3 linked regions of the Lepisosteus oculatus genome follow. The protein of the gene in region 1 interacts with the protein of each later gene in a biochemical or structural test. Links are inferred from orthologs where the notes say so. Each region holds a gene or a part of one and is shown in the gene's direction. Other genes may lie near its edges.

Region 1 (7,889 bases):
GCCGCTCCTGTCCTTGTTTTTCCCTGGTGGTTGATGGTGTGGTCGGCACCAGGGGGTTCATTCCCATTTCCAGCCCCTCAGGCCACACCAGCAGTGTCCAGCAGAGGAGTAGACCCTGTGCTGCCTGGACTCAGGAACTGTCCATTGCAAGAATGAGAAAGGACCCCCGGCTCCGACCTCTGGTCCGCTCTGTGGGCGTCTTCGGCTTGATGGAGACACTCCTTTGCCACACAGCTGCTAACTGTCTCTGTCTTTTCGAAATGATTATTTTGTGAGGATGAGTGGATTTGGCACTGTGGAGGGAGGTCTAGAGGTGGGCTAAGGGGGAGATCCTCAGGTCTCTGTGCTGCAGATTCCACCACCCGTTTCTTCCGTTTTGAAAGTGCAGCTCCAGCGAGAGACGGCATGGATGAAGGAAAGAGGAATTATTTCTGTTTAGTTTCCTCTTAAACTGTGTTCTGGAAATTACGCTGGATGTTTTTTGGAGAAAGAGGACAGGGAGCAAATTCGGTTTTAGAGCGAAAGGCTCTGATAGGCAGCTCCAGAGTGGGAGACTGTAGGAGAACCAAGCGAGAGACTGAGATATAAGGAGAGGATTCAGTTGTGAGAGTGGTTCTCTGGGCTTCGGCTGCTCTGTAACCTATCAATAATGATGATGACTGCATGCCTGGCATCTCTTGTAAAGGATATAGAAGAGCACAATACGTTCTCAATTTCAGCAACAAGATCAGACCTTTCCACGGGAGGGCAGTGTTTCCTCATTTCCTGTTATGATCATCATCATTAATGGTTCTCTCAGGGGTGGGTACCTCCAGTCCTGGGCATCTGCATTTGTTTCTGCTTTTCATTCCATTTTCCATTCCATCGACTTTAATGACTAAACTGAACTAATTAAGTGGCTATGAAGTCAAATGCAAAGACGTTTTGCAGGTCTAACCAGGTGCTAATTGAGAGGTAACTCTAAAAAGGGCCAGAGCCTGGCGCTGCAGGACAGGAGCTGCCCGCCCCTGCCCGTTCACCGCCTGCTCAGTGTCGTCTGCATGCCTTCTGTTCTCACGGTGGAATTCCTCCAGTTACTTGATGTTAAAGGAGCAAGAGGGAACGGATAAGAATTTTTTTTATTTTTTCATTTGCACTGTCATTGCTTTGTTTGCACTTATTGTGGGAGGAGATGCATCCAGCTGGCTGGGGGGTGGAGAGCTGCAGCCTCTGAGCCCCCAGACCACGGCAGTGGGCTTGCAGACAGGGAGGGACTGGGGCTTTTAGAAGAGGCTGGTGAGTATTATTGTCAATGCAGGTTTTTAACTCCAGGATACTACGATTCATAGAGTTTTTAAGTTCTTTCAAATTAAAAAAAATTCTCACTTTCCTGCTCCATTCCCAATTTCCTCTAGTTACTGTTCACAGGTCCTGATTAAGCACATTAGTCTCAAGCACTCCTGCTACACGAGCTGCTGTAGCAAACCCAGCACAGTAGGTGTTCTGTAAACTCATGCTCATGTCGGATTAAGAGCAAGCCCCTGTGTTTAATGAGCAATAAGCAGTGGCTGCCTTTATCAACTAGAAACTCTTAGAGGTGTCCTCCCAAGTGAGCAGTGGAGAGTGACGGAAATCACAGGACACAGCCATGCGCCCTGCAGCCCCTGGAGACCAGGGACTGACCTGCTGCAGAGAGGCTCACTGAGGGCCAGAGCTCTAGCCCACTGTCCACTCTTGCGCCAGAGAAACTTACCTGTATGTTAAAATAGAAACTGTCACGTCTTATTTCTTTGTATTCTTTTGATCTATGGCATTGGAAAAAAATTAATTGTATCATTTCTACCCAAACAACTTAAAAAATGTTCGTCAGACAACACAAATGCAAATAAAAACTAGATTAAACAAATTGTTTTTCTGGAGTCTCTTGATTGCAGTGGGTTTCTGTCTCCTAAGATGGCAGTATAAAAAACTGTCCCTTAGCTACACCCTGCATGCTTTTCAAAAGTGTCTGTTTACCACGCTGTACGTGTATGATGGTGCAGTTAAATTATACATTTCAACTTGGTGTATTTTTTAGTTTGTTTGTCCTGGGAAAACTGGCCCTGGTGTGATTTGACATATTTGTGGGTGTGGGAGCCCTGCGATGGACTGGTGGTCGCATCCAGGGTGTACCCTACCTTGTGCTGGATAGTGTCCAGCTCCCCTGAGACACTGAAGTGGATGATCGGCATATTTTTAAAAAACAAAGGCTGCTGCAGCTTCTGTAGAAGTATTTATTAAAATCTATATATTTTATTTTAGAAAAGAAATACAAAAGATTGGTGCATGAAACTCAGAACAGTTTGATTGCAACTACAGATGATCTACAGTCTCTCTGTCAGCACGGAGGCCACAGCAGGGGCATTTCCAGACTCGCGGGAGCCCAGTACGGGCTCTGGTGCTGCAGGGCTCGACTCTCTCCTCTGGGGGGCTGGGTGGTGGCATCAGTGGTCCTTGTGTGCCTTCCGTGGGTCAGCAGCTTTGCCCAGGTTCCCTGCCTCCCTCTTCAGCACACTCAGAAGAGTCTGGGAGCTCTCCAGGATCTGGCCATTGCAGAGAGAAGGGGTAAGGAGGAGAGAGAGGAGTTCTGTTAGCCAAGACAGTTTTCATGAAATCTTCTTTGTTTCAACTCTTCTTTACGTGGAGAGTTGGGAGAACTTTGAGCCTGCCTACTCATCCCTGATATGGGAGTTGATCCCACAGGACCCTTCGGGGAAACAGTTTGATGAGACTCTGTGATTAACTAAGTGAGTCAACTGGAATCTTCTGAACTGGCTCCTCTCTTTAAAAATCTTTCAGATGTTCTCCTAAGATTAAACATGCTGAACCAGCACATACTGAAAAGAGAGTTTTCTTTTTCCTCAAAAATAAAGCTGGGAAAAAAGCTGGACACAGTGGAGCAATTAAGGAGTAGATGGGGGCTGTCATGCTGAAGAGCTCGGAGCCAGGGTACTCCAGGGAGTACAGGCACAGCGGCTCATTAGTGTTATTTTTTCATTAGAGAGATTGGGGGGTGTTAGTCTTTACACATTCCAGAGGGAGCTGGAGTACATGTCCAGGAGAACACTACCCCCCATGCAAAAACAGCAGTTATGCAAGGACATGCTGGATGCCTTTAATGCAGGGTTTACTTAAGTAGTACTGGGACTTCACAAGCACCATGCAACCACAGTGTAGAGACGCATACTGAGACTTTGCCTGATGTCTAGGATGAAGTTTGTAGGGAACAGTATCATTCTTTTATTTGATATGCTGTAGGTGTTAGAGTGTGCAGTGTATGCAGTTGAGATAGTGCGGGATGCAATGTGTGTAGATGTGTAGATGTAGTACTTAGACGTAATGGGATCCAGCACCAGTATGGCCAGCAGAGAAGTTCTCACCTTCATGTACGCGGCCTCAGTCTCAGCGATGGTGCGGTCAAAGTCATTGCGTGAGGCCAGCTTGCGCGCCAGGCTCTCATTGACACGGCTCAACTTCTCGGTCAGGATGCGGATGTCATTCTGGAGCCGAACCTTCTCCTCCTCTTCCTGCTCGATCTGTCTGTTCAGTTCATCCCTCTTCGCACACAGCTCCTCGATACCTGCGCAGCACAGTAACACAGCTCCTCAAGCACCATTCCAACGAGAACCTACAATGGGTTCAGTCAGTGTTTTAACAGGAGCAATTTCAAGTTAAGAAAACACTGAAAAAAAGGAAAAAGCCTTCTTCGTTTGCAGCTTGCACACTGATGCAGCTATATAGTACTAGTGTATTGTCGTGTCAATACATCCACTGCTGACACTGTCCCTCAGCGTGCCAGCCCAGGCCTGATGACTGCTGCTGTATTTGTGCAGTTCTACCCACCCAAAGCTCTGGGGGCCGGGGAGGTGTCATGGAGGAAGAATCACCATCTCTGCTGGAGGAGTGGACAGTCTCTGAGGTCACAAAACTGGAGGAGGAAGGGATTCTCACCCCAGCTGATCATCAGTCATTTTAATTAGAGTTAACTAAATCAGCGGAGCTGGGCACTCGAGGCATACCGTGGAATACAATGACATCACTTGTGTAATCCCACCTGGGATGTGACTTCAGGGCAGAATTCTGATTTATTGTTTGCCACTGAATGCACAGAAAACAAATTTAATAGGATTTTTGTTCTCCTGCTTGTTTGTAGTGCCTCCCAGCTACACACCCTATGTAAACACACAGCCCCCTTTCAAATCTCTGCCCACACCAGTACCAATTCCGCTCACATACAGTTCAATGACAAAGACCTACTTTGAAGCCAGATACAGTAATGAGTCCAGACATCCCTTACAGCCCACAGACACTTCACAACAGGATCGGTCCAGAGAGTCGAGCTGAGCCCGGGAGACCACAGGACTCGAACTACCCCAGCAAAAGACCCTCTCTAATCGGATTCCCACTAACCTCCTGGAAGGCTGTCTTCACTGTGCCTAATCCCGACACTCACTGCTCACTGTGAGCGCGGCCCTATGCACATCGACGGTACAGCAGTTTCAACAGTAGCTTGGAAACGCTCGATGAAAAACAGAAACAATTGCATTCAACTCAAAAATGCTAAAATCTTCAGCTATAACAAGAAGCAATCTCCCACACATTCACGCCTCTGCATCCTCCGCTGATTTCGCATTGTGTTCAGAAAACACACAAGCCGTGCCGTTATTTGACACAGGACAGCCTCCAGCTGCGGAGGCGATAGCAAAAGTATTTTATTTCTCGATTTTAAGCAGCACGAATTGCCTGCTATGCTGGACATCAGGCTATCACACCGTATTTGTTTCGCTATGGGTCTCAGTCTGACGGCTCGAGAGGATCTCTCCCGCCTCGGGTCACTCACACTTGACCAGCTCGTTGTTGTAGGTCTGCAGCGCCGCTCCCTGCTGGCTCATCCTGCCGGCTCGGCGGGACTCCTGCACGCACTGCCCGGGATGGGCCTCGGCTCCACCCGCCTCTTCGAGACGAATCTCCTTTGCTGGCACGCAGATGAGGCTCGGTCGCAGTGCCCACTTGTCAGTTCAGCTACCCTCTCCCCTGCGTTCCCGTTTCCCCTCTGTCTTCCCTGCGGAGCTGTTGTGCGGCGCTGCCCTCCTCTTCCGGTCAGTTTCCAGGGCAACTGCCTAGCGCAGCTAAACGGCCGCTCTGCTTCCGCCACACTCTACAACGCTCTCTTATTTAATGCTTCTTCTTCGCCTTGCTTTTATCGTGCAGTGTCGGTGATGAGCCGTTTCATATCCACACGGAAGGTTTACGATCTCGTTATTAGACTTAGACGTCTGTTATTAGGGGCATAGCTAACAAAATGGTGGTGACGTCATTACAGTGCGCCGCAGCCGAGCGGGAGAATGCGGTTGGGTAAAAAAATTGTACCCTGGTTTTATAGTTAGAAATATAACGTCTTTGTCTGCATGGGGTGTACATATTCAAGACAGTAATTTGAGGCTGTAGCTCCTTTCTGAGTGGGCAGTTCCAGGAGCTGACCAGGAAAGAGCGGCACCGGAACCACTCGAAGGGCTCAGAACAAGAAACCTGTTACTGATTCGGCTCCAAAAATTATAACAATCGGCGCTTTTCAGGTAAGTCGGCGACGAAACAATTTTGGGCAAAGTTCAGAGTCCAAAGAAGCTTTTGCAGGAAAGACCAGGGTGCGCGGCTGTTGAAGGAGTGTCGGGCAGTGTCTTGAGCAGATTCCCTTACCTACAGTACGACACTGCAGTGTCAGATTCGTTCGGATACTTTAACACAGAAACAAACAATACATAATAATATGTCAGTAGCTGTGGCTTATCAAAATAGGTCCCTCAATGACGTGTATCTTGGATAATGTATCAGGTTGATTTCCGGAGGAAAGGCTGATGTACTATAGGAGCGTAATTGAGAATTCATTATCATGGAATCCCCATGTTCCAGTTAAGCCGTGACAGACCTGTCACAATCCCGAGATAAGGCGTGACAGTAAGCTCTCTGGAGGCCGTGAGCACAGGACCCTGAGGGTCCTGGGGTGTTGTGCGCACTGTGACAGCTGGGCTTCCTCATGCCGGGGTGTGTTATAACATGGGGGGCTTCAAAGTCTCAGGCTTCAGGGGAAGGTTTGCGCCTCATTATCTGAAAGCCCCCTGAAAAGAAGCCCCTTCTTTACCGGGTGGGAGGGACCAGAACTAAAGTAGCTTTCCTGCTCGTGTGAGCAGGTACTGAGCCAGCAAACTGTAGCAGCTGCTCCTCTCTCTGACAGCCCGTCCCGCCTGGGGGAGCTATGGACGTGGCCCCGCTGGCCGCCGCCTGGGACAGCGTGACCTCCGTGCTGGTGAGTGGAGTCGCCCGAGGAGGGGGCAGGGCCAGGGGGTGGCACCCTTTATCCTGCTTTTCTGCTGTTCCTAACTGAGCCAGGAAGGGCATTTTCCTGCTCGAATTTTAACAAGTCTCCCTCTTCCTTCCGCCTCCCCACCCCCTTCCTCCCCCAGGTGTCCCCGGGGCCAGAACCCCCCCCTGAAGAGCCTGTGTCCCAGGCCCTGGCGGTGCTGTGCTCCTGGGGGCTCGGCGGCAGCCTGGAGGCCTGGCTCCTGGAGGCCCTGCAGACGCGGCTGCAGGCGGCCGTGGCCCCCGAGTTCTGGGCTGGGCTGGACCAGCCGGAGAACGGGCTGAGTGAGAGGGAGCGGGCCGCGCTGCTTCTGGGTGCCTTCCGGACTCTGCTGAGCCGCCTGGAGCCCTTCCTGAGGGGGCTGGGGTTGCTGGGGGCCTGGCAGGACGAGGGCCGGGGGGGCCTGAGCGGCCCCGGGGCGCAGGGCCTGAGGGACCGGGCCTTCGCGCTGATCCGGGCCATCCTGCTCTTCTCCCCCGGCGGGGTGCTGCAGGAGCGCGTGCTGGAGTTCTACAGCCGCACCTTCGCCGCTCACATGAGCCGCGAGGAAGGGCAGGACGGGGAGCCAGAGGAGGCCGAGGGCCCCCTGGGGGACGAGGGGGGGCGGTGTCCCGGCTGCAGTATCCCCCCGGAGGAGTGCTGGTGCGAGGAGGCCCTGGAGCAGCTGAGCGAGCTGAGCCACATCCTGTGAGTGAGGGGCCGCGGCGGCGGGGGGGGGGGTGTGCGGAGATGCGCGGCCATGCTGACTCTCTGGCCCCTCGCAGCTCCAGGCTGCAGCTCCAGGAGAGAGTCAGCGCCGAGTCGGTGACGTCCATCCTGCACCAGCTGATTGAGCAGCGCATGGAGCGCCGCTGCCGGGGCGAGTACGAGAGCTCCTTCATCAGCGACTTCCAGCAGGTACTGCCCCCCTCCCTCTGGCCCTCCCGCTGTGTTGCTCCTGGGGAGTTGATCATCTGCCTTGCTCACACTGAATCCCACACACGACAGGCTCAGCAGTCCTGTCTCTGTCTCTGTCACATAGTGAATACAAACAAAAACATGACCACGGCTCTTTATTTTCATTCAGTCTCTCCACTGTCACTACCAGTGTGGTGGGAGATGAGGCCAGGTTGTTGCTTAAGGATTAGAAGAATCTGGGCAACACAGATCACAGAGCGCGAGGTGTGCTGGTTCGGCCGGTCAGCCCTGTCTCCTCTCCCCCAGTGGCTGGAGCGGGTGCTGGGCTGGCTGGGCCGGGTGTTTGCCAGCGCCGGGGGGCCGGGCAGTGCCGCCTTGCAGCGATGGCGCTGCCACATGCACCAGTTCTTCTGCCGGCTGTACGTCAGCATGAGGATCGAGGAGCTGTTCAGCATCATCCGAGGTGAGACGGGAGGCCCAGGGTGGGAGGAGTGTGAGAGAGCTGAGATAGACTCGTGGAGATGGGGGGCTGTGTTTTGTGGTACTAACTAATACACCTAATGTCCCTTCTCCTTCCCCCTCTCTCCTTCTCTTCATTTCATTTTTCTCTTCCCAT
Region 2 (7,718 bases), on another chromosome or scaffold:
CTGCCTCGCTCTGACTAGCCACCCGGCGACGGAGGCCAGCTCGGGAAGGCTCAGGAAGGAGAAACAGAAGGCGAAAGAAAACGAAACAGCCAACTATCTTTCCCCCCGACCAGGACCATGGAATATTGGTTCCCACTTACCTCCAAGCAATCCTTCTTCTTGTGCGTCATCGCCCCACAGTTCTCGCATGCCCCTTTCCGATACTTCGTGGTAACAGGTTTCTACGCCAAAAGAAAAAACACTCACAAATGCTGTATACCATCCCTCACACAGCAAAAACATTTTTCAGTCTTATGATAATAAATGGCCTGACTGAAGATTACAAGACAAGTAGTGCTTGAGCAGTAAAATGTTCTAATAGACCATTTTGTTTCAGCTTAACAAGCCAAGCGTCCCAATTCTGTACTTTTCTTTGCCTAATGCCTAAGACATCAGTTATAAACACTACATTTATCATTCCCCAGAAATTCTCTCTTTTGCCACTCCCTTAAATGTGATAGTTCTGCCCCCCTTCATTTTTATAAGGCTTGGCACCTCAGTAGCTGTCTGAACTATTATCGCCCTACTCCCCACCTCGCAACCTTCGCTCTTCTAATTCTGCTCTCCTAACTGTCCCCCAAGCCCGTCTACACTCTAGGGGTGGCAGGGCCTTCTCCTGTTATGCCCCAAGGCTCTGGAACTGTCTCCCCAAGGATATCAGAGAGTCACCTTCTCTGAACTCCTTCAAATCCAGGCTCAAAACCCTCTTCTTCAGAAAAGCCTTTACTGAACTGGTTGCATTCTTCACCCCTCTGCTTTTCTTAGTACCACCATCCACGGTCTCCTCTATATATTGTAATTGTGTTTCATCTTGTGTATTCTTCTTATTTATTGTTGTTGTCATCCTGTAAAGCGCTTTGAGAAACCACCTTTAAAGGCGCTACATAAAATAACGTTTATTATTATTATTATTTTTTTAATGTGACTTTTCAGAAAACAGTGAATCACATTCTCGCCTGGGGCAAATACCTACGGGAAAGAAGGCTCGTGTGATTTGAGGGGATGGGCTACCTACAGAGCAGCACCCCAGCGCCGCGCTGAGCACTCACCTCCTGCACGCCCCGCTTGTACCAGTCCCCGATGGCCGTGTACTGCGGCTGCTTCTCCTCCTGTGGCCTCTGGTGCCTGAGGGTCGGCCTCTTGGAGGGGTCGATGTACCAAGGCACGGAGGAGATGTACTGAGGAATGTGCGGGTTGATGTCCCTAGAAAAAGAATGAAAGGTCAGCAATTTCATTTAGACCAACGTTGCAAACCTGTAATGGTGCGACGCGATGCTCAAGAGCCGTGTCTTGATCACATATATGCTAAGTATAAAAATTTCACAAAGATGGCAGAGGATACCAAAGCCATGGGCTGGAGATGTGAAGATCTTTGTTCTAAAAAAAAAACACCTGGAAAGTTACTAGAACTGGTATCAAGAAGGAAAAGGCAACATATCTAAGCAATGGAAGTCACGAACTTCCACTGACTATCCTCTGCACAAAACCCCTCATCGGTATTTTGTAGGTTAGTATCAGCAGGGGCATATGTAATGAATTCATATTTAAAGTTAAACAGGTTTACAGCCAGCCAATCTGGTCCTGGAGGGCTGGTGTGTTGTAGGTTGTCATTCTAATTTAGTGTTTAAGAGCTAAGCCAGGAACCATCTGGTTTAACTAGACTAATTTCACAGCATCTCCCAGCTCTTCTTGAGCTGCGGATATAAAGAGCCCTTAGCTTACACACAAAATCCTACAGCATGCATCTTGCGGCACCCCCTCAAAAAAAACTCTTGTTCTCCTGTCGCTTGGCTTTCCCCAAAGGATGCCCAGCAGCACATCAATGCTTTTGGATTTCGGCTCCAAATTTCCACCCTTTATTTGACAGTTTGTAAGGTTTTGGCCTGCGTGACGTACTTCCCCTCTTCGTCCACCTCGGCTGGGGCATTTCCCAGCTTCCTCTGCTCCTCTAGCTCCTTCTTCTTCCTCCAGTCCTCCCTGGTCATCTTCTTGGGCTCCTCCAGCCCCACCACCCCCTCAGTCCCTGCTGACATGGCTCTTCTGTTTCAGCGCCACCTGCAGGAGGAGGGTGGGAGAGACTGGATTATTCAATTCAATTCAACCTTTCAAGTCCCACTGGGGAAATTAGTTTTACCCCACACTCCAACATAACACAAGGACAGACAAAATTTTACCAACCAAGAAGTGGTGGTTGTTACGGCAAGACAGTTACGATATTAGATATTTCAGTGGGGTTGAAAGATTTCCTGTGTCTATGAGTATTACAACTGGGGACACAATCCATAATACACTTTGCTTTCTTTGCATTACAAAGCATTTCTTTGCACGCTTTGCTTGTAGAGGATATGTGAGGTGAGCTGATTTCCTCCAATTAATTTGCTATTTATTTGGACTAGGCTGGGAAAACTATTACAATCAATGGTACTCATTTCAACACTAGCAAGTGAGATAGTATGCCAAGACACTTTTAATAAAAGACTTGTAGAAATTGTTAGGATGGTCCTATCTATCTAGAAATTTCTTAGTTTTTCTTAGCAAACGTCTTTGTTGTACTTTTTATAAACGGTTTCACAGCATTTGTCCCAACTCAGGTTCTTGTCTATGACCACCCCCAGTACTTGTTAGTCAGTGACGATTCCTGCAGTCTGACCATTAATTACTGTAGGTTGGAGAGATGTTGCATTATTCTGAAAATCAATGACCAGCTCCTTTCGTTTTGACAACATTTAAGTGCAAACTCGTTACACCATTTAGTACAGTCATTTAGAACGGGTCCATAATGGTTTTCTGAGTCCCCTAATAACCCAACCAGGACTTTATCGATGAGATATGTATTTGTGCGTTTGCTTTTACAATCGTTAGTATACAAAATATACAGAAGTTCAAGTAGGTAGCAGTGTCAGCATACGTAGACTGCAAAGGAACGGGTACAGGTTTATTCCTGGTAAAAAGAGACAACGTTTCGGCTGTGGAGCTTTTACCAGCTGTAACAAAACACAGCCATGTAGAAATATAGCAAATGTCAGATAACCAGTTCCCCAATTTGACCTACTGAGTCCCGTGAACGAAGTCGCAGAGCGAGAGAGATGATAATTTCCTTTGCAGTATTCGAAGAGAAAGGGAGGGGACTTGGGAGATGAACAAGAGGCCGAGAAAGACAAATACAGAAACAGACTGTTCATAAACCAGCCTCCTCTCCGTCTTCTGGGCAGAAACTGGAGAAGCTCCGAGGTTTGAAACCAGCTACTTCCCCGGCTAACAGGGGGAAACACGTGTTCTGTAGCGATACTGGAATTTAACAGTTACAGGAAAGTTATCTTCGAATACTGCAAAACAAACGACGTACTTCCAAATGCCATAGATTTACATTAAATTCACAAGCGTTCATCCATAACAAACTGGCCTTCCGTCTACAGCTACACAACCGTTGTGCGTAAACGACCTGGGGAAGCGCATTCAAATGAAACACATGACGTTATGACGCGAAATCCGCGTAAAACATGACGTGTAAGATACATAATAAGTAGAAATATGTCTTACCGAACTCGACTGACAATATATTTTGAGGTCAGTTTATCGTCTCCTAGTGTCGTATTTACAGTCCACCGCACAACGCCGCCATATTCCCAGGATACCCTGCGCGCTGACGTCATTCAAAGGGGGGCGTCTGCGTGGTGGTGCTTTAAAGTTTGTTCAGCAGTAACACAAAAATATACATTTTTAAATTTTTTAATTAAATTCTATAAATACTCCTACACTTATCGTGAAAATCTGTATTTGACTTATTCTATTTTTAATGTCTTAGTGGCAAAATCTGCAAATGAAGCACCTATAGTGCTGGAGGATTTAAACTAAACCGTAGTGATAATGTTAGTAATACCCGCAACTTTATTGGTAACTTTAATACTGTTTCCGGCGGCTTCGCCACCATCGGTGTGCTATCAGAATGCCCACTGGCCTCCTTGCGTTGATTTTAACTTTAAGAGATGAAACCCGAGTGAGATCCGCCGGCTGTTTAAAACCGCTCATCCGACGGTTACCAAACTGTTGCGTCAGTAAGGGCTCCCGGTCCCCCGGTTTCGCTGTCTGGAAAGAGCCGTATACTCCCGTCTTAACTGCTCGTTTGACTCAATTAAAGTTATACCATAGTTCTTGAATGTTTACATCTTTCTAATCTGCTCTTTTCACCACTTCGTTGTTATTACAGGTTCATAATTACTGCCCAGTGATTTAGAATTTTAAAAATAAATGGAGTGATTTTTATACTGTCCGCAACCCAGCTGTTAATGGATCTGAGGACCATTCCGCTATTCAAGCGGGTCCTGATTTACACGGTGATTTAAGAAATTATTTCCTGCGCCAGTCGATAAAAGTGATAAAGCAGTGTGTCGCACCAGGAATTACACCGGTAGGAGAACAGTCGGCTGGGCGATGATGAACTGCACTGGAGCCAATAGCCCGGGCGTCTACCCCTCCGTCAGGTTTCACTAAGATGACAAGCGGAGGCGCTGGCTTGCACCGAGCAAGTTGTGTGAAAGCAATAAAAAAGCGGCGATATGAAAACAGCCTCAGTCGGTCGCGTTACACACCCGGTCCGCAAGGGGGCGGTGCGGACAGTCGTCACTTCCTCGAAACAGCTGCATCCTCGTGCTCCCCGGAGAGCCAATGGGAGCGCGGATTATTGTTTAAAACGAGAGCCCACGGAGAGTGGCGCTTGTGTGGTGAAGCTTTGAATTTAGTACGCTGGTAAGTAACGCAGTGGGGAGGAGGGGGGTTTAAAAATGTTCTCTGTAATGAAATCGAAACGTTTTTGCAGTATTGGAGCAAAAAATAAAGCTGCAATACGTCCTTATGAGGCGGGTAGTAGCAAAGGTATAGTTTTATAGATATAGTCCACAGCCGAAACGTCGAGTTTCCTTTCTTCCCTGTTAAGCGTGGAATAAACATTTAACTTGTTCCTTTGCCGCGTACGCATGGTGACGTACGCAGCTACATTCTTGAACTACATAAGATTAGTTTTTTTTTTATCCATTACCCCACGTGGGACGTTCTTTTGGAATCGCTTGTTTTAAGTGTCCTACCTGTTAATACTCGTCTTGTTGTTGTGCACTACAGATTCGTTTTTTTTTCTTTTCTTCAGAGATGTCCCTGGCGATTTATACCGACAAGGAAAACGGCTCCCTCTCGACGCCCGCTCCCGCGAAGAACCGGGTGAGGCTACAGTCTGCTCCAGGTGAGACCCCCGCTCCGCTGTCGGGCCCTCCCGTGTTATTCATTGCGCATCGATTTCGATTGATAGACTACGAGGGTAACTAATTAGAAGAAGGGTACTTGGTTTCAGAGCGTCGCTACGGCGATATTCTTTTCCGAGCCACATCAGCGGAGGTATCGTTACCTGCTGAATAGTGCTGGGATGAATACAGGACCATTGCCAATGTGTCCTTTGTAAAACGAAATGACTAACAGTGGTGCTGAAATTAATTCTTTGTTAATAAACCCACTCCATGGCTGTATCTTTTGAAGTGCATCTCTTTCATAAAGCCTAGATTGCTGTAATGTCTCATTTACTGCATCCATGTCTTGGCTTATTTGGAGAAGTGGCTGGATGAGATCCCTTTAACCAATTCAATATGAGGTATCCTGGCCAAATGTCCCATTGGCCTTGACCAATCATGGCCCCCTTATAATCCCCATATCTGAGCTGGTTTAATCACTCTGTTCTCCTCCCCACTCAGAGCTGGTGTGTAGGGAGGGTACTGGAGCATCATCCAGGTGGGGCTGCACACTGGTGGTGGTGGTGGAGGGGATCCCTATTACCTGTAAAGCGTCTTGAGTAGTGTCCAGAGAAGTGCTATATTAGTGTAAGGGATTATCATGAAGTCTGTGGCATACTAGCTTCTCTGTTGGCAGATCTGCTCGCTGACAGATGCCTGAAGACGCCTCACACTGGGAAGCTCCTGACCGGCGCCCCCATGCTCTCGGCTCGGAAGACAGTCAATGCGCTTGGCTCAGTTCCCTCCCTGCCCCTTCTTGTCCGGAAGAAGGAGCCACGTGTGGGTTCGACTAAGGTACACTTACCAGGCAGCTTGCAGTGCCAGTAGGATACTTCACTCCTGCTCTAACCTGGAGTCCATCGACAAACCTGACACTGCTCTTGTGCCTGATATCTTAAACAAGTCTTGGACTCTTCAGCCTAGGTTCTGGATCAGATGGCTACTGATCAATTAAAGGAACCATAGTCCTTAAGGACTGAAAGCTCTTTAGAAAAGATCTTAAGAGCTCCAGTCTATGTGACTTGACAAATTACCTCCCTAATTGACCACTTCATAAATTTTAAAGGTTGTGTATAAAATTTGGTGCTGTGACTGGGTCCTGCTCACTATTAACTGCAACGAGACACGTACTGTAATGTTCAAGTTGAGCTGCAAACATTTCACCTCAGAAATGTTCTAATGTGTTTTGCATGCAGGGTTGGCAAAACTATCTTGAAGCCAAGAGCAATATTTCTATTGGATTAAAAGAGATGTATTCACAAGCCTGTTTGTTTACAATGTAAAAGGGTGGCTTCACCTCACCAGGAGTTGTTGCCTCGTTTGAATCGCAGTTACTGTGTACATTTTACTGTTGCAGTTTGAAATACACTTCTCCATGCGGATTCTTTCTAGCCCCAAAATATAAAAAGTGTTGCAGTTCCCCTTTAATGAAGACTCCGGTTGCCGCTCAAACCCAGCACTGCCTTTGATGGCATGGCCCAGCCTGCTAAGGACTCGTATCCTGTGGAAAGCACTGGTCACCTGCATTAGGAATCCTACTGATGCTTCACATGGGTCGAAGCCTCTGGCTGGTGTTTGGGTTTCAGTTGAATTAATCAAGCCGTTTGCCTGGCCCCCCAGCTGAAAGAAGAGGTGAAGGCCTGCCCCCGACAGGTGAAGAAAGAGGAGTACCCCGAGGTGGAGAAGATGATTCCCTATAACCCACTGGGTAGGTCCCCTTCCTGTGTGTTTTGAGAGGGGGGGGGGGGCTATGAAGGGATATGTGCCAGATAGCTTCTTCCTGAACCCCCCTAGTTGAACACCTGTTCCTGAACTCGGTAAGTCTGTTCCATCTGTTTAAGTACCTGTACATGACTGTTGTTGCTTGGGTTCCTGCCTACTCGCTCTCTGGGGCTGATGGTCCTGGTCTCCCATCAGAGTTTGAGAGCTTCGATGTGCCCGAGGAGCAGCGCCTGAGCCACCTGTGCCTGGCAGGGCTGGCAGTGCCGCCCACTGTGGAAGAGGAGGATGACTTTCACTTGTTGGATGTCTGTATGCAGCTGTCGCCTCTGACCTTACCAAAAGGTGTGTGTGTGGGGGGGGGGGGGGGGGGGTAGGGGTGGTGTTTTGTAGAGTGGGGAATCTGCCACCCTCTTGCAGAAACCAGTGCCGTAGGTTTTGAAGTGAGCAAACCCCGTTTGATTTAAAATGGTGAACAGGGCTGGCTGTTGACCAGATTGCATGCTGTCAGCCCATGAGCAGGTGTAATCCACCTGTTTAAGTGTTTTGCCTCCTGCACAATTAAGACTCCAGTTCACAAGACTAGATATGCAACTGGCTTTGCTGCAGGTGCTGATCTAGTGAGTGACCTATGGTCAATGACCTGACCTCTTTAAACTGTAGTCAAGCTGTAATAACTGGAAGTGA
Region 3 (7,058 bases), on another chromosome or scaffold:
CTCTCCTGTCTCTCTCACACAGCCTGTCTCTCCTGTCTCTCCCACACAGCCTGTGTCTCTCCTGTCTCTCTCACACAGTCTGTCTCTCCCACACAGTCTGTCTCTCTCACACAGTCTGTGTCTCTCCTGTCTCTCTCACACAGTCTGTCTCTCTCACACAGTCTGTGTCTCTCCTGTCTCTCTCACACAGCCTGTCTCTCCTGTCTCTCTCACACAGCCTGTGTCTCTCCTGTCTCTCTCACACAGTCTGTCTCTCTCACACAGTCTGTGTCTCTCCTGTCTCTCTCACACAGCCTGTCTCTCCTGTCTCTCTCACACAGCCTGTGTCTCTCCTGTCTCTCCCACACAGCCTGTGTCTCTCCTGTCTCTCTCACACAGTCTGTCTCTCCCACACAGTCTGTCTCTCTCACACAGTCTGTGTCTCTCCTGTCTCTCTCACACAGCCTGTCTCTCCTGTCTCTCTCACACAGTCTGTCTCTCTCACACAGTCTGTGTCTCTCCTGTCTCTCTCACACAGCCTGTCTCTCCTGTCTCTCTCACACAGCCTGTGTCTCTCCTGTCTCTCTCACACAGTCTGTCTCTCTCACACAGCCTGTGTCTCTCCTGTCTCTCTCACACAGTCTGTGTCTCTCCTGTCTCTCTCACACAGCCTGTGTCTCTCCTGTCTCTCTCACACAGTCTGTCTCTCTCACACAGCCTGTGTCTCTCCTGTCTCTCCCACACAGTCTGTGTCTCAGAAGGGGACCCGGTCCGATACAGTCCTTCCGAGCTGGGCTTGCGGACACGGCGTGCGCGGGGAAACAGCGCCGTCTAGTGGCGCCGGGCTGACACGACCCCTCCGAGTGTCGAGGCGCTGAATCCTGAGTTGAACTCGGCTTCGCCCTCGCCGGCAGATTATAGGGAAAGGTGCCGCCGGGCCGCAGACGGGGGGGGGATACTGCATTTTCCCACACTCCCAGGACTCCCATCCTGCTGCTTCCCAGAGGATACCAGTGAAAGAGCTTCGACGACAGCGCTGGGCAGTGCGTTCCACACCCCCGCCACTCATTGCGCAAAGAAAGCAGCAAGGGGACAGCGGACCCCTACCCTGCTCCACACACCCCAGTCCTGCTGTAACAGGATACCACTCCCCCGAGCGCAGCCGGCATCGCAGGGAAACTGGAGGAGAGCACTGGGCTCTAGGACTCAGTTCTGGACACAGCTGGGCTCAGGGGCTCAGTTCTGGGCACTGCTGGGCTCCGGGGCTCAGTTCTGGGCACAGCTGGGATCCGGGGCTCAGTTCTGGACACAGCTGGGCTCCGGGGCTCAGTTCTGGGCACTGCTGGGCTCTGGGGCTCAGTTCTTGGTACAGCTGGGCTCTGAGGCTCAGTTCTGGGCACAGCTGGGCTCCAGGGCTCAGTTCTGGACACAACTGGGCTCAGGGGCTCAGTTCTGGGCACTGCTGGTCACTGAGAGAGTTCTGGACACAGTTGGGCTCTGAGGCTCAGTTCTGGGCACTGCTGGGCTCCGGGGCTCAGTTCTGGGCACTGCTGGGCTCTGAGAGAGTTCTGGGCACTGCTGGGCTCAGGGGCTCAGTTCTGGGCACAACTGGGCTCTGGGGCTCAGTTCTGAACACTGCTGGGCTCTGGGGCTCAGTTCCGGGCACTGCTGGGCTCTGAGAGAGTTCTGGGCACTGCTGGGATCTGGGGCTCAGTTCTGGGCACTGCTGGGCTCAGGGGCTCAGTTCTGAACACTGCTGGGCTCTGGGGCTAAGTTCCAGGCACTGCTGGGCTCTGAGAGAGTTCTGGGCACTGCTGGGCTCAGGGGCTCAGTTCTTGGCACTGCTGGGCTCTGGGGCTCAGTTCTGTGTACTGCTGGGCTCTGAGAGAGTTCTGGGAACTGCTGGGATCTGGGGCTCAGTTCTGGGCACTGCTGGGCTCTGGGGCTCAGTTCTGTGTACTGCTGGGCTCTGAGAGAGTTCTGGGAACTGCTGGGCTCTGGGGCTCAGTTCTGTGTACTGCTGGGCTCTGAGAGAGTTCTGGGCACTGCTGGGATCTGGGGCTCAGTTCTGGGCACTGCTGGGCTCAGGGGCTCAGTTCTGAACACTGCTGGGCTCTGGGGCTCAGTTCCGGGCACTGCTGGGCTCTGAGAGAGTTCTGGGCACTGCTGGGCTCAGGGGCTCAGTTCTGGGCACTGCTGGGCTCTGGGGCTCAGTTCTGTGTACTGCTGGGCTCTGAGAGAGTTCTGGGAACTGCTGGGCTCTGGGGCTCAGTTCTGGACACAGCTGGGCTCCGGGGCTCAGTTCTGGGCACTGCTGGGCTCCGGGGTTCACAGCAGGGGCTGGGGAAGGCGGGGATCCCCGATACTCAGCAGGGGATTGGGGACACCGGACCCTGAACTGGGATCACTACTACCCTCGGGCTGTGTAAAACACAGATTCCTATTTATGATGTTAACGCCCAAAATTGGGCAGCCTGTTATAATTGTTCATAAAGCAATTCTGAACCGTATTCTACCACCTAATGTTGTTACACCTTTTAACGAACTTCATTCCTAGTCATTATGGTACAGAGATCTCATTTACCTGAAGTTAGACCACTCGTTTTTGAGATAAAATGAGCCCAATTAACGTGTTATTCTGACTACAGTATAGACCAGAGAAATACACGGTAGAGTGCTTATCACAGACTGGTGTGTTAAAGTTTAGCCAAGATACTCGTTTGGAAACCATTTTAAATGTTGCAGTGGTGCCACATAATCACACCTGCTGTGTTTCCGGATCAAAACCGACCAAACGATTTCATCTACAAAGACAGAGTATAAGAAAGTATGTTCGAGTGACCATTTGCTTGGCAAACATCACAAATTCAATCAGGTTCTAAGATAAAACGCACAGCCCCGTGTGTGTGAATTCTGCATCTTTATTATCGTCTCACCCAGTCATTTCCTACGGTCGCCCAGATCTGACCGGGGACATTACAGATGAACAAAATCTGAATAAACCACCTAACATTCAATTAAACTACTTATCGTTAACTCCATGTCTTCAAATGTTACCAAGCTTTATGGCGGTCAGATGACAGAAACCATATATATAAGAAAATAGCAAACCGGTCACGTTTGTCCGGAACTGAACTAAACCTGCTCAGAGCTCTGGAGACCCGCGATAATAATAATATTAATAATAATAATAATAATAATTGCTTACACTTATATAGCGCTTTTCTGGACACTCCACTCAAAGCGCTTTACAGGTAATGGGGATCCCCTCCACCACCACCACCGATAGGCGCAGCTAAATCAAATAGAGGTGCATTTTCTATAATAAAAAGTAGGTTTTCACGAATCCTCGGGCTTCCAAGCAGCAATTATAAAAAACTAAGAAGGTGGACATTTTGACAGCAACCACGTTTTAATATTCATCGTAGGTTTATGAGCAGACGTCTGCCGCCCAGGTGCGGACTTACGTCCATTTTAATACCCTCCTCCGTGCCTCGGCTTTAGCAGAGACAAACTATGTGGCAAAAATGAACATTTCCACACAAAAAAACAACCATAAATGAACACATTTAGCTCCTAAAACCGTAAAGCATAACAGCCATGGCTGAAGACCAGCAGCGCTCTAACAGGAATGTCGTCACTTAGCAAACTTCCGCCCCCTACGTCCCGGCACTCAAACAGACGCCGAGCCAATCACGGCGTACGGCGTACCTAATTCTTCTCTTATTGGATCAAACTAATGTCACTCCCGACGCTCCCCATCTTGATTTGCTTTCATTGCCGTCAATCAAGTACGCCGTTTACCCAGTGGGCGGTGTCGCCCCCCTCCCCGGAGAAAGAGGGGTAGGCACTAATTATTCAAACGGACCAATCAGAGTAAAGCATTTTCCACTCGCTCGACTGGCATTGGTCGAGACGGTTGCCGGGTGGCATGACGGGGAGCGGCCTCCGGCGGGCGATTGGCTCAGAGCGTTGCGGGTGGAAGTGACGTCAGGCGCTCCTCGTTTTCCGATTGGCTGGGCGGGCGGGATTTTTACTGTTTTTTTTGTATTTGTGTTCCTGTGCGTCCGCCCGTCGGAAAGAGAATTCGGCGCAGCATCCGTCCAGGGAGGGTATTAAAAATATAATAAATAATTTTATAAATATATTTGCAGCAGGAGCGTCGGAATCGGGGCCCGGAGTCGAGGAGGCGCTTAAATAAGGTGGGCCGCGGGTCCTTGTTGACGAGCGGGAGGTGAAATTATAAAACAAACCTGGAAATATATTTAGAATTTTTTTTATTATCATTTTTTTTTTTCTCGCCGGAGATCCTGTCCCTCTCTCGCCGAGGGGGCTGAACTTTAAAAAGAGCTGTCCTGGCCGAGATCTCTCTCTGCCCCCCTCCCCTCTCCTCTCGCTCTCCAGAAGCGCCCCGACCCCAGCGGTACCGGACCGGACCCAGACATGGTGAGTGAGCGCTGCGCCTCTCTCCCTCTTTAAATCGCCTCGGTCAGTACAAACACGCTGTTCGGCACAAGGTTCGGCCCCGGAGCCCTAACCGCTGGCTAGAAAGTCCACGGAGCCGCCGGGTCTGGACCCGCGGCCGGGCGGTACCGCTCGCCTCCCTCCAGCGAGCTGTTGCTGGAGTAAAAAGTACCCTTCTGCGAGAAGGCACGGTGATCAGGCGAGTGTGCGCCGCCTGCGGGTCCCGGGCCCGGTTCCGCGCGTCTCCCCGGGGTCTCTGCCCTCCTGGTCCGGTTCCGCTCGGCTGCGGCCCGGGACTGGAGCAGGCGCACACCGCTGCCGTAGATCGCGGCATGTGTCGCGCTGGGCTTCCGCCTCGCAGCGGCCCGGCCCGGCCCGGCCCGCCCGGTCGCTAGTAGGTGATTGATCCCGGTTTCTCATCCCGCTGTTGCCGGAAGGAAACCAGCGAATCCTGGTTAGCTTGTTCCCTCCTCCCACCACCCTCGGGGTACAGAAGCACCTCGTGCTCTCGGTTTTAAACGCTTTTCCGCACAGTTTCCACTCGTGTCACTCGGAAGACTCTGCTCCCGCCCTCGAGGAGTTTAATGATAATAATAATTACACTGATGTAGCCCTGTTCTGGACACTCCACTCAGAGCTCCCCTCCACCACCAGCAGGGTGTACCCCACCTGCACGATCTCCAGTCCGCTCCCACACTCCAGCTCTCAGTGGGGAGGAGAGCAGAGTGATGAGGCCAGTTCAGAGAGGGGGGTTATTAGGAGGCCATGACTGGTAAAGACCAGGGGGAAATTTGGCCAGGACACTGGGGTAACACCCCTACTCCTCTCGAGAGACGCCCTGGGATTGTTCATGACCACAGAGAGTCAGGACATCGGTTTGACGTCTCATCCGAAGGACGGCGCCTGTTTCCAGTCTAGTGTCCCCGTCACTGTACTGGGTGAGCGCCCCCTGCTGGCCCCACTGACGCCTCTGTCCCAGGAGTCTCCCTGCAGGTCCTGGCCAGGCTCCCCCTGCTGGGTACTTGTATCAGGTCCTCTTGTAGTGTTCAAGACTGAAGAGACACAGCTCCTCCAGCCTGAGTGGCCAGCAGTGGCCGTGGCCAGCGGTGTGCGGTCAGGCGTGGCCGTGGCCAGCGGTGTGCGGTCAGGCGTGGCCGTGGCCAGCGGTGTCCGGTCAGGCGTGGCCGTGGCCAGCGGTGTCCGGTCAGGCGTGGCCGTGGCCAGCGGTGTCCGGTCAGGCGTGGCCAGCGGTGTCCGGTCAGGCGTGGCCGTGGCCAGCGGTGTCCGGTCAGGCGTGGCCGTGGCCAGCGGTGTCCGGTCAGGCGTGGCCGTGGCCAGCGGTGTCCGGTCAGGCGTGGCTGTGGCCAGCGGTGTGTGACGTGATCCCCTCTCTCTTGTCCAGAACTCCAATGTGGAGAACCTGCCCCCCCAGGTCCTGCGGCTGGTTTACAAGGAGGTCAGCGCGCTGGCTGCTGACCCGCCAGAGGGCATCAAGATCTACCCCAGCGAGGAAGACATCACGGAGCTGCACACTGCCATCGAGGGGCCAGGTACACTGACCACTGACCACTGACCCCAGCCCCTGGCACACTGACCACTGACCCCAGCCCCAGCTCCAGGCACACTGACCCAGACTGACCAGTGTCCCCAGCCCCTGGCGCACTGACCACTGACCCAGACTGACCAGTGTCCCCAGCCCCTGGCGCACTGACCACTGACCCAGACTGACCAGTGTCCCCACCCCCTGGCGCACTGACCCAGACTGACCAGTGTCCCCACCCCCTGGCGCACTGACCCAGACTGACCAGTGTCCCCAGCCCCTGGCGCACTGACCACTGACCCAGACTGACCAGTGTCCCCAGCCCCTGGCGCACTGACCCAGACTGACCAGTGTCCCCAGCCCCTGGCACACTGACCACTGACCCAGACTGACCAGTGTCCCCAGCCCCTGGTGCACTGACCACTGACCCAGACTGACCAGTGTCCCCAGCCCCTGGTGCACTGACCACTGACCCAGACTGACCAGTGTCCCCAGCCCCAGCTCCAGGCGCACTGACCCAGACTGACCAGTGTCCCCAGCCCCAGCTCCAGGCGCACTGACCCAGACTGACCAGTGTCCCCAGCCCCTGGCACACTGACCACTGACCCAGACTGACCAGTGTCCCCAGCCCCTGGCGCACTGACCACTGACCCAGACTGACCAGTGTCCCCAGCCCCTGGCGCACTGACCCGTGTCCAGTGAGCAGGCGGGCTGGACCGCCCCCCTGCAGGCGGTGCTTGTGCTGACCCCTGACCCCTCTCTGCCCCCAGAGGGAACCCCGTTCGCGGGCGGCCTGTTCCACATGCGCCTGGTCCTGGGGAAGGACTTCCCTGCGGCGCCGCCCAAGGGCTACTTCCTGACCAAGATCTTCCACCCCAACGTGGGGCACAAGGGCGAGATCTGCGTCAACGTGCTGAAGAGGGACTGGCGGGCCGAGCTGGGGCTGAGACACGTGCTGCTGGTGAGGTCCGGGAGGGCTCGGGGAAGGTTCCGAGCGGCGCTCTTGTGCTCACGCGCTGTCCTGAGGAAGTGGAGAGGCACGCCCGCGCACGCCGAGACATATTTTAATACTATT

The links.
Region 2: the proteins of anapc2 (region 1) and pttg1 form a complex in vitro, tested with the Homo sapiens proteins (2 studies listed by BioGRID, with this or other methods). The link is inferred for Lepisosteus oculatus from reciprocal best matches to the Homo sapiens genes ANAPC2 and PTTG1.
Region 3: the proteins of anapc2 (region 1) and ube2s form a complex in vitro, tested with the Homo sapiens proteins (3 studies listed by BioGRID and IntAct). The link is inferred for Lepisosteus oculatus from reciprocal best matches to the Homo sapiens genes ANAPC2 and UBE2S.

Annotation. Positions count from the first base shown.
Region 1 is NC_090719.1:331,177-339,065, forward strand, and holds the start of anapc2 (anaphase-promoting complex subunit 2), read left to right. Parts: upstream 1-4,790; 5' UTR 4,791-4,805; coding exon 4,806-5,117; exon of another isoform or gene 5,118-5,594; intron 5,595-6,250; coding exon 6,251-6,322; intron 6,323-6,479; coding exon 6,480-7,063; intron 7,064-7,140; coding exon 7,141-7,273; intron 7,274-7,579; coding exon 7,580-7,736; intron 7,737-7,889. UniProt on the Homo sapiens protein: Together with the RING-H2 protein ANAPC11, constitutes the catalytic component of the anaphase promoting complex/cyclosome (APC/C), a cell cycle-regulated E3 ubiquitin ligase that controls progression through mitosis and the G1 phase of the cell cycle.
Region 2 is NC_090706.1:28,924,887-28,932,604, reverse strand, and holds the start of pttg1 (securin), read left to right. Parts: upstream 1-4,678; 5' UTR 4,679-4,785; intron 4,786-5,179; 5' UTR 5,180-5,181; coding exon 5,182-5,272; intron 5,273-5,949; coding exon 5,950-6,107; intron 6,108-6,932; coding exon 6,933-7,020; intron 7,021-7,229; coding exon 7,230-7,376; intron 7,377-7,718. Other genes in the region: pre-mRNA-splicing factor SLU7, read right to left, coding at 141-221, 1,089-1,242, 1,936-2,072. UniProt on the Homo sapiens protein: Regulatory protein, which plays a central role in chromosome stability, in the p53/TP53 pathway, and DNA repair. Probably acts by blocking the action of key proteins.
Region 3 is NC_090718.1:812,338-819,395, forward strand, and holds the start of ube2s (ubiquitin-conjugating enzyme E2 S), read left to right. Parts: upstream 1-4,034; 5' UTR 4,035-4,181; exon of another isoform or gene 4,182-4,286; 5' UTR 4,287-4,422; coding exon 4,423-4,425; intron 4,426-5,845; coding exon 5,846-5,993; intron 5,994-6,753; coding exon 6,754-6,944; intron 6,945-7,058. UniProt on the Homo sapiens protein: Accepts ubiquitin from the E1 complex and catalyzes its covalent attachment to other proteins. Catalyzes 'Lys-11'-linked polyubiquitination.